Linked DNA regions of Tamandua tetradactyla. The protein of the gene in region 1 interacts with the protein of each later gene in a biochemical or structural test. Links are inferred from orthologs where the notes say so. Each region holds a gene or a part of one and is shown on either strand. Other genes may lie near its edges.

What was found. The genes of interacting proteins can lie anywhere in the genome.
Region 2: the proteins of VDR (region 1) and HR form a complex in vitro, tested with the Homo sapiens proteins (2 studies listed by BioGRID and IntAct). The link is inferred for Tamandua tetradactyla from reciprocal best matches to the Homo sapiens genes VDR and HR.

Annotation. Positions count from the first base shown.
Region 1 is NC_135333.1:107,855,908-107,863,488, reverse strand, and holds the start of VDR (vitamin D3 receptor), read left to right. Parts: upstream 1-4,563; 5' UTR 4,564-4,656; intron 4,657-7,581.
Region 2 is NC_135329.1:22,758,513-22,765,422, forward strand, and holds the start of HR (lysine-specific demethylase hairless), read right to left. Parts: upstream 3,022-6,910; 5' UTR 2,809-3,021; coding exon 2,149-2,808; intron 1,425-2,148; coding exon 635-1,424; intron 1-634. Other genes in the region: protein HRURF, read right to left, coding at 4,204-4,308. UniProt on the Homo sapiens protein: Histone demethylase that specifically demethylates both mono- and dimethylated 'Lys-9' of histone H3. May act as a transcription regulator controlling hair biology (via targeting of collagens), neural activity, and cell cycle.

The sequences.
Region 1 (7,581 bases):
CGGGAGCCATGTGGGAGCCACTGCAAGGTTCTGAGGGAGCTCTCTTTAAGCCCTGTGGTTCTCTCAAAGCCTTTCTTAGAATCTCATGTTCCAGGTACTAAATGAAGGGATCCCACGGAGCTTGCTCACATTATTCAGGAAGATGAGATTCAATCAAAACCAGGGCAGTTAACAGTTGGGGAAAAAAAAAACAACCACAACACAAAAACCTGGGCAGTGCCCTCGGTCCATTGGTCACACAAACAATCTAGTCAGCCTAGCTTATAACCCAGGGCAGAATTTTTCAAGCTAAAGCTCACAACCCATTAATGGTGGATCCCATAAAAAAAGAAAGAAATGGTTGAATCCATCCATTTGGTGGATCTCATAAGAAAGAGAAAAAGAGAGGGAGGGAGGGAGGAAGGAAGGAAGAAATGGTAGAGAAAATAGTAGAAAATATTGAAAGCATTGTAGGATATCTGTATTTCATAAGGCTTTTATCTAATTTATATATGTGCATGGGTTTACTAGGTCATGATAAAAACTTATTTCCTACTTTGTGTTGCAGTTAAAACTTTGAAAATCACTGTCCTGAGAAGACCCTTTTTGTTTGGTTTGCTTTCATTGCTAATAGCTTCTTCCATTTATTTATTCCATTTTCACCGTCTAGAACACAAACAGGATCCAGTCCTGGATCTTTTTTGTCCTGATATCGATTAGAAAAGATAAATGAGCTAGCCTTTCTGGACTTAATTTTTTCAACTCTAAAGCAAGAGAACTGATTGAAATGGATGGGCTGGACCCTTCTGTTTCTATGACTTCATGATTCCATGTTTCTCAGAATGTTCTCTAGATACTTACCGGGTAAGAGGCTTCCCTTTATTCCTATCATACCTGTACCATAAAATATTTAAGGGGGAAAGGGCTTTAAAAAAAGGAAAAACAGGTGGGAGTGCTCCAGAGAGAACTCAAAGGACATACTTTTACCTGGAGAGAATCCTCTGGATCGCTTATCCTTCTGTCCTTAGAGACAAGGTCTCTGGGAACCTCTGTAGGGACAAGGTCACCACTTCAGCTCTGGCACCATGGCAGGAGGTCCAGAGAGTGCCAGCCAGACTAGGGGACAGTGGCCAGCCTTAAGGAAAGGGGAGTCCATCAGTTGAGGATAGGATGAAGCTCTGTGGCCTGACTACAGGCCTGCTCAGGCCACCTATAGGCACATAAAAACTGGCCTCAGATCCTGTGGAATGGCATGCACATGGGGTGGCCTCAGCTTGGCATTTCTGGAATCATTCCTCCCAGCTAGGAATCTCCTGGTTGGGCTCCTTTGTTTCTACACAGACTGTTGAGTTTATAACACTATAGTGTGGTGTCTTTCCCATAGCACTTAATATATATTAATTTATCAGAGATGAGTACTGACAAAAACACAATCTGAGAATCCCATAAAGACAACCATCCTCCCTTCCAGAGACAAGCAAGAGTTCTAGAAATATTAACTTCAAGGACAAGAAAGAGATAATTAGTGTTTTCTGCAGAGGTTCTGATGCATACCTCATACAGCAATCAAGCTAAAGTTTAAAGATAATGATTCTGTAGTACAGGAATGCTGAGTGTCATCAAAGGCTTTGAGAGAACAGGGTGTAAAACAGCAGCCTCCCTTCCTAGAACTTGGCTAGGGAGAAGCAGGGTCAGGAGGCAATTAGTGATTACAACAGAACACCACAGAAGCGAATCTGATGTAATCTTGCTTTTCTATTTTTGCAAAATGACATTCCTAAGATGAAAACTGAGGTGAAAATCCATCTTTGTTCAATATGAATGCAAGATGGTTCATTGCCAGGTGACAAGCCATGCAAAACAGACAATACAAAGACCAGAGAATTGACAGGTCTTTTTGGCCTGGAGATGGCTGGAAAGGCCTAATGGTATAGACAAGACCTGAAGGAGGATAGAGTCTCGGGAGACAGATGACAGAGCAACTCAGATATTGGGTGAAGATAAGAAAAACATGATCAGGGATATGTTGATGGGGCTGATGATGGAATGTTCTAGATCTCTGATAACATCTATAATTTTGCAAAGCTGCCAAACTCAAAACCTCTGAGTTCCCAAAGGCTGAGTTTTCTAGACTGTGGTCCAAAAGATAGAAAGTCCACGTGTCTCTGTCACTCCCTAGCTGTAAGAACATCAACAACTCTGCACAACAGTTAATTGTACAAAGACGAGAGTATTTTCTACTCTGCTTAACAGAAAAGGTTGTACTGAAGATCAAATGAGATAATCCAAATAATTCTTTTGATACTGTCAAATTTTACATGTTAGGTATTCTTAGTAGACTACAACCAAGAACTGTGAAGAAAGAGTGTCTTAGTTTCCTTCGCTGCTCAAGCAAATACCATGCAACAGTTTAGCTTAAACAATGGGAATTTATAAGCTTATGGTTTTGAGGCTAGGTGAAGTCCAAATCAAGGCATCATCAAGGTGATGCTTCCTTCCTGAAGTATGGCATTCTGGGGCTGGCTGCCAGTGATCCTTGGTCTTTGGCTCCTCTGTCACATGATGGCAATCTCCTGGCCTCTCCCTTCTCTTCTGGGTTCCATTGACCTTCAGCTTCTTGTTTCCCAAGGCTTCCTCTCTGTCTAAATTTCATTCTGCTTATGAAGGACTCTAGTAATAGGGTTAAGACTCGTGCTGAGGTGGAGCACACCTTAACTGAAGCAACCTCATCAGAAGGTCTTACTTACAATAGATGCACACTTACAGAATGGATTAAGTTTAAGAACATGTTTTTCTGAGGTACATAGCTCCAAATCACCTCAGAGACTAATAGTCAGTTACTATTTTATACTAGTAACTCATGTCTTGCCATGTTTTGTTAAGTTTATTTTCTAGATGACATTCACCTCTGTCTCTGGCACCACAAAAGTGACTTCTGAGTGATTAACCCCTTCTAGAGGTTCACAGACTTCCTGAGAATGTCCCAAAGTGGTGATTATTAGAGATACCCTCTTTCCATGGGAGTCATTGCTAGAGTTTCCATGATGCTTTGAGTTGAGAACATTCTTTTCCTTTCATTACAACCAGAGAATTCCAGACCCATCAGATCAGCCGAGCCTCCAAAGGGCATTTCATCTCTTCTGTTTCTCAGCATGCATTGTCCATTCCCAAGTTCAGTGAAAGGATGGGTGTCGCTTCCATTTTTTTTAAGTTTCCATGACACCCCCTTAACGAACTGTTTCAGTGCATAGCAAACTTCAGTTTCAAGGTTCTTCCTTCTGTTTACCCTCAGTTCATTTATCTTGATCCAATTATTGAGATTTGGAGAGGGGTTGGTATCAAATAGTATGGCATAATTGGTTCAGAAATGGTTCAGAAGCCACTATGCCAGCAGACTTGCTCGACTCCAGTGCTAGCCCTGTATTGTACAGTTGTGTGACCTTGGGCAAATCACTTAACCTCTCTGTGCTTCAGTTTCCCACCTGTTTGGCTTGTCCCTCTGAGCCATGGCTTCTTCCTTTATAAAAGGTGAATAGCAATGCCTTCCCTGCCTAAAAGAGTTCACCAACTGCTAGATGATTTTGTGGGCATCTCTATTGCAGCACATTATGTAGTAATTATGTTGTAATTACTATTTATTTATGAATTTCCCCACTGGATAGTGAGCTCTAAAACAGAGGGAACCATGTCTTTTTCATCTCCTCCACTGTCCAGCACAGTGCTACCTAATCCATAGTTAGGGAAGCAGCATAGAGTAAACAGTGAGGCCCCAAATTGTTCTTTTTCTTTTCTTTTTTAGCCCAAATCTATGTCAGCTTTTTCATAGTCATCCCCGATTCCAGGTCTTAGTATGTATTTTTCACTTCCTCCCTCCCTTTTACACCAATGTCATGCCGGGGAAGGGGGAACTGGGGATCAGGGCCCCAGAAGCTGACACTAAACCAGCTAGGACGAGATTCGCGAAGAACCTGTAACCTAGCCATTTGTGGTCTCTGCCTAGGGGACATAGAGTAAGAGCGATGATGCAAATCTAGGCTCCACTCCGGCCCCGTTTATTTATTTATTTATTTTAATCATAGCGCGTGGGTTCGGGCTCAGCTCCCTGGCACTCGGCAAAAGTAATACGACGGCGAATGGCGCCCCGAATTTTCCACGAGAGCGGAGAGAGCCGTTGGTGCCCGTCGGCAGGCGCCCCCCAGCGCCCGACGGACGACGGAAAAGTCCTGGCGGTGTCAGCCCAGGTGAGGGTGACGCACCTGAAGAGGCGTCGGTGGAAGGCTGGGCAGAACCACGGCACCTGGGGTGGGGAGTAAAACATCACAGAATTTCGAAGGCAGGAGCGTAGATCTGCACACTTACAGTCATCGAAAACTCCCATGTACAAGAGGTGAAAGCATGCCTTGCTTTAGGGACAGCAGTCGTGAAAGGCTACTTGGGGCAGAGTCTCCAAGGTGACAGTGCAGTGGTTGATTCCAAGTCAAGATGGTTGCAGCGCGAATGGAGTGCCTGGCAAGAGAGGACTGGACGTGTGGGCGGGGCCAAGGCATAGGGCGGACCTAAGGGCGGGGCCTGTGAGAGGGGCGGGGACAGGTGCTGGGTTGTCTCTGCTTGTCAAAAGGCAGCAGCCGATCCCCAGGCGCTGGGAGCGCGGACCAGCGTGTCTACCCGCGGAACCAGGTGCGGACCCCGGAGCAGCCGGGAAGGGGGTCCCAGCATAGAGATCAGGCTTGGGGTGCGGGGCGGTTGGTACCGGGGCTGAATAGCCGGGTGCAAGCACTAGAGTCTAAGTCACAGGGGCAAACTTGGAGACCGAGAGCCGGGCTGCCATGAGGTTGGGGCACTGAGGAGGCACTGGGCTCTCAGAGAGACCACCTGGGTGCTCGGTTAGCTTAATGCAGAAAAGCTCCGCTAGCACAGTGTTCAGCACTTGGGCAACAAGAAACATTTGTTTCCTTCCTCTGTCCGGGTGCCTTGGCACAGAGTGAAGGAGTAAGAAGGGGAACGATTGGCTGTGGATGGCGCTAAATCTTTTGGGGGTGGAGTGTGTAGCCTTATTTATTATCTTGTGGGGCCCACGTGTGGTCACCTGTGCTGGTGAAGTTGGGTCTTTTAAGTAAGGTGTGTTTCCTGCCTTTTTTTTTTTTTTTTAACTCCAATGCTTTTAGACCTATTTAGCCTTTGAGTACTGCATTAATTTCCTCAAGAGACCCTGACCATGGGTGAGGCATAGGCACTCAGGGGCAAGCGTCTAGGTGAGGAGGGGGCTCAGAGAGTAGTTTCTGTCTGAAGGAGGTGAGGGGCCAGGCGTCTGTGGGGGGCGGGTGAAGAGGCTTCAGGGAAGTATATGCCAGGAAGCAGTGTGTAGTCTCCAGTGGGCAGTGGACAGCAGCCCCGGTCCCCCTTTTTGCCCCCCATGGACTGCTGAAGCTGAGACCCAGGCTGCCTGGGCTGGGGATCCCAGGGTCACTGCTCCCAGGCCCTTCCCGCACAACCTCCTCCTCTTTCTCCTCCTCTTCTTCCTCCTCCTCCGTGCGGTGAGTGAGTCAGCCTCCTGTCTGGGCTCAGTTGCAGCCAGAGGGGCCAGAGCCCAGGCAAGCAGTTGGGCAGGCATTTTCTGAGCATTGCAGAAGCTCTCCTGGGCAGAGTTCAGCTCTGCTCCAGCTCCCTGCTGGAAGGCTGTCTCCTTGTGGCTAGTGGTGGCTGCTTCCGCAGGGGGCAGGCGTTCAGACACCCAACACAGCAATAGTTATGGGATGTTCTGATTCCAGAAGGAGTTGATTGAGAAGGGATTGTGGTTTTGTGGTAAATCCATGTCTCTTATCCTTCTCCTAGTATCGTGAGGTCTACCTCAGTCTTCTGCAAACTTTTCCATCCTCCTCATACCATTTCTGTCTAGTGATCTCATTAGTTGCCCTTGTCTGCTGGTGAAGTGGGGGTGCAGAGGAAATTGGAAGATTCCGGGACCAGGGAAGGCATTGTGTTGTCAAAGAAGTCTTTAACCCAAACTAGGGAGTTGGGATGGTTTGACGAGGTGGAGATGGGTTATCTGGACTCTGGAGCCTCAACTCTGTGGACCAAGAGTGTTGAGTGACAGAGAAACTTCCCTCATCCCCCTGCACCCCATCCAAGTGCTAGAAGAGATTGTGGATCTTTTTGGAATAGTGTTGAAACTGGCATGTGGCCAGACTGGGAAGTAGTAAGAATGTAAACTTCTTTCTGGCTTTTGTTTTGGATGCTGTTAAGATCCTTGAGCAGAAATAGAAGGCCCAGTGTCCTTTGATTCTACTCAAGAGCCTCTCTGGACCCAAGTCAGAAGAATCCATGGCAGCCAACTAGGCTGTGGAGCTGACTCAAACTGCAAACAGCTGGGGAATTCACAGTCTGTGCTCCGGCTGGGTCCACAGCTTAGGGTTTGGCTGGTCCCTGATCAGCCATGACTTGGATCCTGACCAAGCTAAAGGAGAGACTGAAGAGTAGGGTCAGAAGGAGGAAAGGAAGATCCTCACTCCTCTTCAGCCAAGCCTATCACTTGGTCCCAATATTGTGGAAGGTCCAGGTTATGTTGTGGTGCTCAGGTAATTTGTGTTTATGGTTTCTCTGTCTTCTTCCCCTATATGACCTCAGAACTGATCTCCTTTTGGGACTAAGCCCCAGAGGAAGCTCTAAGAGGACCTCTTTAATTCTTTCTCTACCCCTCCTCCCAATAACAAACAGCCAGTGTCCAAAGCCAAAGTCCTAAGCCAGTGTCTTTCATGTGGAGGGATTGACTTGAACCTAGTGTTATCCCAGTCAGGAGGAGGAGTGGAGTTCCTGTTGTTTGCTTCCTTACGCAGGTAGGGATCAGCCTTGCAGAGATCTGCCACTGAAATCTCTGCTAGAAATCTGCTGCTGTATAATACTCAACAGTGGCGATCTAGAGATAGAAGTGCTGAAGTCAGGAGGACCTGGAAGTCTGAGCTAGTATGACATTCCAATTTGTTCTCCTCACTAATGAACAAGGAGAGTTATAGGGCTCCAACTTTCCATTTGTCACTGTTGCTATTCTCTTTCGGATGCAAGTAGAAGGAAGTAAGGAAATGACTATATTTGCTTAAGTGCTTTCTGAGTACCCAGCATGGTGCTTGGCCCTCAGATGGATGGCAGGAAGCAGAACCCACTGCTTTTGCCCCCAAGAGATCTTAGCTCCAGGATGGGCAGCAGCCCTCCCACCACTTCTGTCTGGTTCTGAGAGGCTCCACCTGGGGTGAAGCCAGCCTGGGTGTTGCTCTCGACCACAAAGACTGTGCTTCTAGTTATGTTCCTCCCTGATTTTCCCCTAACCTCTCCAATCTCAGTGCCCTCCGGGGTGGAATAGAGAGTGACTATATAATTTATCATCCAAACTGGGACACATTTTAGAATGAAAAGGTGTGCTATTAACAGTTATACCAGGACAATAGGCATAAACTGAAAGTGTCCAGGGCAAACTAGAATTTTGAACCCCAGTGACAGAGGTCCCTAGTGAACACCTCTGCAGAGGCTACAGGGGTGAGGGGAAGATAGGGGTACTTAATTCAGAGGGCAGCCCCTATACCTCAGCCTACTCCCTGGTGTTATCAGCCA
Region 2 (6,910 bases), on another chromosome or scaffold:
AGGCTGAGAAACCAAGGGCTCCCAGAAAGCTGAGGCTAGGGCTGGCAGTGCCAGAGCCCTCCATGAAGGGCATAGCCTGGCAGAGGGGACCAAGACGCGCCCAAAGCCCTAACACTGGGAGAGTCCAAACTGAGGCATTCCTGAGGGAGGACAAGGGGTTCTTTAGGAGAACAGGGGAGGGAATTACCCAAACAGGGAATTATGGCACAATCATAATGGCTAACATTTATCAAGTGGTGAATGCCAGGAATTCTTCAAACCCCTTTATTAAATTTAATCTTTGCAGCAGTTTTTGAGGCAGGTGTCATCTTTATCGCCATATCACAGATGAACAAACTGAGGCCCAGAGAGGTGACATAACTTGCCTAAGGTCACCCAGCTACCAATCAGCAAAGACAGGAACCAGGCAATCTGACTCCAGAGCCTGTGCTCTTAACCATGGCATTACACAAATGGATAGAGAAGCCACTTGCTGAGGGGCTCTCAGAGAGCCTTCACCATCCAGGTGGGAAACCTGACAGCTGGGTGTGACCCACTCATCAAGGACTAGTGGCCCTTGCCCCCCTGAAAAGCCCCAACCCTGGCTATTCCCTCCCAAGTAGAGCCCCCTGGAACCCCCCACCCATCCCCTTACCTCTCTGGTCATCATGCTGTTCTGCCTCTGCCTTGTTCCTTCTTGATGAGTCCAGCACCTGCTGACACCCTCTGGCCCCCTGCCCCACATTGCCTGGGAAAGGGTCTGGTGGCCGCTTGGGAGCTGGGCTACCCACTGTTCCTTGGACCTCAGGGCTGCTTGCCCTCTTGAGGGCCCGTGGCTGGACAGCTGGGCTCTCTTCATCCCCAGGGCAGTCATCTGGGCACCCGAACTGCTCAGAGTGTCGTGTGAGCCATGTCTTCTTCAGCTTGGTATGGTGGCTTGGAGGGCAGGCCCTGTGGCCAGGTGGCTTGTTCACTTCCTCACTGGAATCAACTGCCCCGCCGGAGCCCCCCTCCAGGCCCTCCTGGCACCTCCCACAAGGGCCAACGCCCCCATCTCTAGCAGATGGGTGGGATGAGCAACAACCCACCTGGGCGGTAGGCAGGCCAGGAGAGGGGCACCTTGATGAGGCTGGTGATCCCAGCTGGTACCCAAGGCTCCCACTTCCTGGGACAGCCCAGATGTTGCCAAGAGTATGAACCAGGCCCGGGGGACAAGCAGACCAGGGAGTCCGGGCAACACTGTCTGGATGCCCCAGGAAACGAGGGCAAAGATTCTGGTGCCTGCTAGCTCCTGTCTCTCCATCCCTCTGCTGGAGCGAAGAGGATTCCACCTCCGCGGCTCTCTGGAGATGCCCACCAGGGACTAAGCCCAACAACCCAGGCTCTGCAGTTGCCAGTGGCTCCTTTGCCAGCCCAAGAAGGCTTGGATCCTTGTGGTAAAAACCCTAAAGGGAGGAGGAAGGGTTTTAAGTTAGCAGCAGCTTTGGTTCCCACTGCTGAAAAAGACTTCCAGCAGGTATGTCCCTCTGTGACCTCACGGGTTGTGGAAATAGTGAAGGACTCACATGCTGGTTGAAAATGGCATTGTCTGGGTCCCCTGAGTGCCTGCCCACTGCCCTGACTACTCCCAGATCCTCCTCCAGGACTTCTCACATCTCCTACAATCCAGCTACTAAAGAGTTAAAGCCTGACACAGCCAAAGGGCTTCCAGGGTCTATTCTGATTGCTTGATGTCCAGTACCATATTGGGTTTTAAATTATCTTTAAATCTCCTCCCTAGGGGTGGGAACTGTCTGTGGGGGAGATTCCCTACACCCAGACCATGAGGCTGCCTGCACGTCCCTGCTCCAAGACGAGGCCACATATTCTGTGGCTCCAATCCCCAAATCCTTGTCCTGAGCGGATAATGGTGAGTCAATCCCTGAAATGGCCTGAGGGCAGAGAGTCCTAGTAAGATGGAGCTGCTCAGGAGAAAAATGCTTGGGGTTGACTTTGGGGCCTCAGACAGCACTGAGCAAACGCATGCCATTTGTCCTACCTGGGCACTGCCTTAACTTTTTATCAGAATGGACGCACTGAATGATGCTGTCCTGGCAGGGCTGCTTGAGAGCCACTGAGCTACCATGTATGGCCTTGAGTCCTGGGTACTCACTAGGCTCCAGCACTCACCTTGCTGCCTAAGCTGAAGGAAGAGGGCCCTTTGGGCTGGCCCCCTGCATACATCCAGGGGTGAGGGGCCAGGGGCCAGTCACATGGACGCTCCGGGGGCAGGCCGGTCATTAGGTAGGGTGGCACACAGGTGGGCATCCAGAAGGGAGCTCGCTCCAGGATCTTGGTCTCCAGAAGGAAGGGGCAGTGCAAGGGCTGGAAGGCCACAGGTTCACTCTTGGGATGGCCACCACTGTGCTCAGGAATCAAGGGGCCGTAGTGAGGTGGGCACGCTGGCCTGCAGAATGTCAGCGGATGGGCAAGCATTGCCTCCTTCCAGCGCAGCCCCTCCTTGCTGCCCAGCCGGCTGGCCTTCCTCTCCCCATTCCGGAGGCCCTCGCCCTCTACCAGTGGGAGCGTGTCCTTGGGGCCTTGGGGGAAACTAGGAGTAAGCCAGGAATCTGGAGCGCTCAGGATGCCCCTCCAGAAGGGTGGAGACTCTCCCAGGCACAGTGCCCCGTGGCGCAGGCCTTCCTGTGGTGGGGTGCTTGGCTCCTTTCCCACGATGCCATTTTCAGGGGCTGTCTTCTCCCAGGCTGGGGTGTCCTTCAGGAAGCTAGGCGTGCTCTCCATCACTCTCCTGCCCTCATGGGGTTCTCCCACAGGGGGTCCCTGGAGCATAACCACCAATGCCTGAGCTCCTTGAGCACGTGCCCCAGACACCCTACAGCCCTGCACAGAGTGGGCACCACCCAGGCAGCTCCAAGGCAGCTCAAACCAGTAAGGCAACTGCCAGTCCGAAGGTGGGCACCACAGTGCCCATCCATATGCGACCCAAAGGATCCAGTCTGGTGGGATGCTCCAGTGTAAGGAGGTTATTCTGCCCCCCACCCAATTCTTTGGATATGACAGCCCACCAGGGCCAGCTCCCTTCAGCAGAGGCTGCCATTTCTAGGATGATATGTCCTGGCCTTACTGAGCCAGTAACCTAATCTCAAGCCACGGGGAAGGAAAGAGAAAGAAATCAAAGGTGAGCTCAGGGTAAGAGCACTGCACTTGGAGACAAGAGGGCTGTGTGACATTGAGTAAGTCATGTCACTCCTCTGGACCTCAGTGTTCCCTTGCGTGAAACAGGGCTTGGGAATTGACAGAAAGAGGGTTCTTCCCATACTGCATTCTGTGGTTCTGGGGGTGCCCCTTGCCCACCCCCACACTCCAGCCCCACCCAGTTTTGTCGGGGTGAGAGGTGCAGGCTGGAGTTACTGGGGAGGGCTGCCAGCCAGGGTTGTCCGCTGCTATCTCTATCTACACCTGGATAGCCCGAATCTGTCCCTTCCTGGTGTGCTCTGCAGTTTTCTTGGCTCCATGACCCAGGGCAACTGATGGGGGCTGGAATCTGCACACCCCCAACCAAGGGAAGGAGGGAGCCAGCCCAGGAGAGGGGTATTGAGAGGCCTCTGCTGGGATGGGTCAGGAGGCCCCAGCCGTGCAGTGCCAGGGCCGCCGCCGCCACTAGTAGCTGCAGCCTGGCCCGGGGGGAGGGAAGGAGGCGGGGAAAGCGGGCCGGGCCCCAGAGAGAGGGAAAATTGAACGTGTGCAAGGGACCAGGATGACAGGTAGCTCTTGGAGCCGCGGCGCTCTCAGCGCCCGGCACCTTAGCTGGCCTTGCAAATCCGGAGGAGATAGGCAAGGGAGCCGTGGCAGAAGCGCAGTTTTCTGGGGCCACCGCTCCGGAACAGTCCAGCCCCGGCGGGCACCCTAACTTTCCGAGGTGTGGTCCAGTCCAGAGGGGCACGGGGAACCCACTCCCAGTGTGCGGCGGCAGGAGCTTAGCCTCTCAGAGATCCCTCTGTCAGTCTCCGCACAAGGCGCGCCCTTGGCGCGGCTTCTCGGCGCTTACCTGGGCTTCACAGGCCGGGCGCAGCGCGGGTGGCGGCGGTCGTCCTGGCGGGTGCCGGGCGCTCGCTCCCCATGGGCGGGCTCCGGGGCCTCCCGGCCGGCGGGCGAACCCACGTTCTCCCGCTCTCTCTGGTCAGCGCGCTCTGGCTCTTTTTCCCCCCGGGCGGCGGGGGCGCTCTAGGGCCGCAGGTTGGAGGGGTCGGACTCCGGGATCTGCAGGATGCGGCACACGGCGCGGATCGGCCGCACCAGCTTCTGGGCCGAGGCCGTGGGTTGCGCCATGGGACGCCGAGACTCCGTGCTGCGCCGCTGGGAGGGCCGGGCCGGGGCTAGGGAGCGGGTGTCCCCGGAGGGAGAGAGGGAGCCGGGCCGGGGGGAACGCGCGCCCCGGGTCGGAGATGGCAGAGTCGGGGGAAAGGCCGAGGGGCCGGGGGAGGGGGTCGTGCCTGGAAGGGGGCCCGATCCCCGGACCCAAGAAAGAGGCACCAGCGAGGGCGCAGCGCGGCGCGGCGCGGCTAATAGAGGGAGAGCGCGGCGGAGAGCGCAGCAGGACCTCCGATCGCCATCGCCAGACGCACAACTGAGGAGTGGGGAAGCTGCTCCGCCGGTTTCCTCCTCCAGCACCCTGCGGGAAACAGGAGCCCGTGATTCGGCGGCCCCGCCTGGGCCTGCCCCCTCCCAGGCCCCGGGGGCTTCCGCCAACGCCCCGGCGATGCCACCGGCTGCGCACGGGGAGAATGAGGCCTTTGTTCCCCCCTCCCCCCCGCGGCACCCGGGCGCCTGCCGAAAGAGGCTCCCCCAGGGCAGCGTGCCAGCTTCCCAGCCGCCCCACCCTCCCGTGGGCCCGGCCCCGGAGCCTGGCAGGCGGGCAGCACCCCCACCATAGGTGCCAAGCCCGGGAACTGGAGCAAAGGGCGGGAGGGGCCGGACCAGGCCACGGTGGGGCGGGGTGCCCCCCGGGGTGCCAGGGCGCGGCCGGCTGGTAGGGGGCAGTGCCAGAGCTGGCAGGGGCAGCGGGGTTCTCACGGGTCAGTGATGGGCGCTTCTGCCCCATGCCAGCCCGGCCTCGTGCCTGCTGGACCACTCACTCCTTGTCCTCTCCAGCTCTGGCACATGGGCACACCGTGCTGGCCTGTGTCTGCCCTGGCCAAGCTGTTCTTCCCTGTCCCCCACCCAGGCACCTTCCCAGGGCCCAGGGTAGAGAGTGTCCTGCATTAGCAATTCCGGGGAGACCTGGATTCTAGTTCGTCCCAGTCTAAGGGCCTTGGTTTCACCAAATGACAGAGAGGCGGTGGGACTAGAAGAGCTTGGCCACTGGCTCCAGCTTGATGCTGCGGGGGTCTGTCCCATCCCCAGTGTTCCCAGTGCTTCCAGGCCCTGTGCTGGAGAACAGCCCATGGGAGTGGCTCCTGGGAGGGAGCAGAGAGTAGGAGAGGAAATGGGAAAGCACGGCACCCTCCACCCGAGGAAGCATCACGGCTCCTCTGCGGGGGCGGTTCCAGAGCACAGACACAAACAGGCAGATTCAAACACACACAGACAGATTCAGACACACACAGAAACCCACACGCCCAACGGGCGCTTCCCTTTCCCTCAGGCACCCACCTCCCACCCCTGGACTCCCCTGCTTCTCTGTGCATGCCATCCTCGGTGCCTGCCCTCAGCCTGCCTGGGACAGAAAGAGGAGCCCCCCCAGCCCACCCCCAAGCTGGCCATTTGAAGGACAGGGATGCGTTCTCGGATGCCTCCAGCTTGGTCCATTCACACCCCCACAACAGAGAGGGACAGCGCTGAAGAGTTGGGGAGCCTTCTTCCCAGGAGACCGGGGCGGTGGGGGGGGTTGGGGAAGGCAGGGCGCCTTTCTCTGGTTGAGGAGAGGAGGGGTCTCAGGGAGAGGGGGGGTCTGAACAGGCTGTCACTGGGCAGGCTTCGGGTCCAGTGGGCTTAGACTCACCAGCCCGGTCTCCAGCCCCTTCTCCTGCCCCCAGAGGCCAGTCCGGTGGGAGGACCGGCTGGTGAGATGTTTACAGGACTGGGTTATCAACCCTCCCTTCCTTCCCAGCTCCCCTGAGGGGCAGCCTGGACCTGAGTGGGCCAGGGGACACGGTTGTGGAGGGTCTAACAAAGACTAGGATCCCAAGGCCCCGGCCGCCAGCCCCCTGCTCCCAGGCTGGGTTCAGTGATGAAGTTGCTTGTCTGGGGTGTGCCTGTGTCCCCCCATCTTGTCCTCTGGCTTCCCTCAGCAGTCAGCAGCTTGCGAGAGAGTCCTGGGGGCAATTTCTGTGGCTTGGGGCTGGAAGAGGCTGAAGGGCAGGCCAGGGTGGGAGCCTAGGCTGCCCCAGGGGCCTTGAGGGCCTGTTGCGGCCGTCCCCAAAGGGGATAGGGACAGTCCCGGGGGAGCAGGACTGACACCTCCCAGCCCCCATCTAGCTGCCATGTCCATTTCGTCAGGTCACCATCCCAGGGCTCTCAGGACAGGCTCTGGAAATGCCCCCGGGTTCGTGGAACTGGAAGGCACGAAGCCCCTTTCCGCCCTCCCTCAGCTCCCCGTCCTGCCCCCTCAACCAGTGCCACAGGCCCTAGAGTCCTTGTAGCTGGCTCTCCTGCGCCTGAGGACAGAGCAGAGCTGAGGAGACACATAAAAGACACAAACACAGAAGGAAAGCCATACGACGCATGGGCATGATTCTAGATTTGTGGATCGAGGCAAGCTGACCAGCACCCCGAGACCCCCGTGGGCCCAGCCCCAGCCCCACCCCGACCCCTCACGCGCTGACACTCGCGCTGATAGCCACACTCATGCTGACAAGCCCAGCAGCACTCACCAGCCGGCTGCCCTCACACAGTCCCCAGAGCCCCTTACCTGGGCAAGCACGGTGCCGCT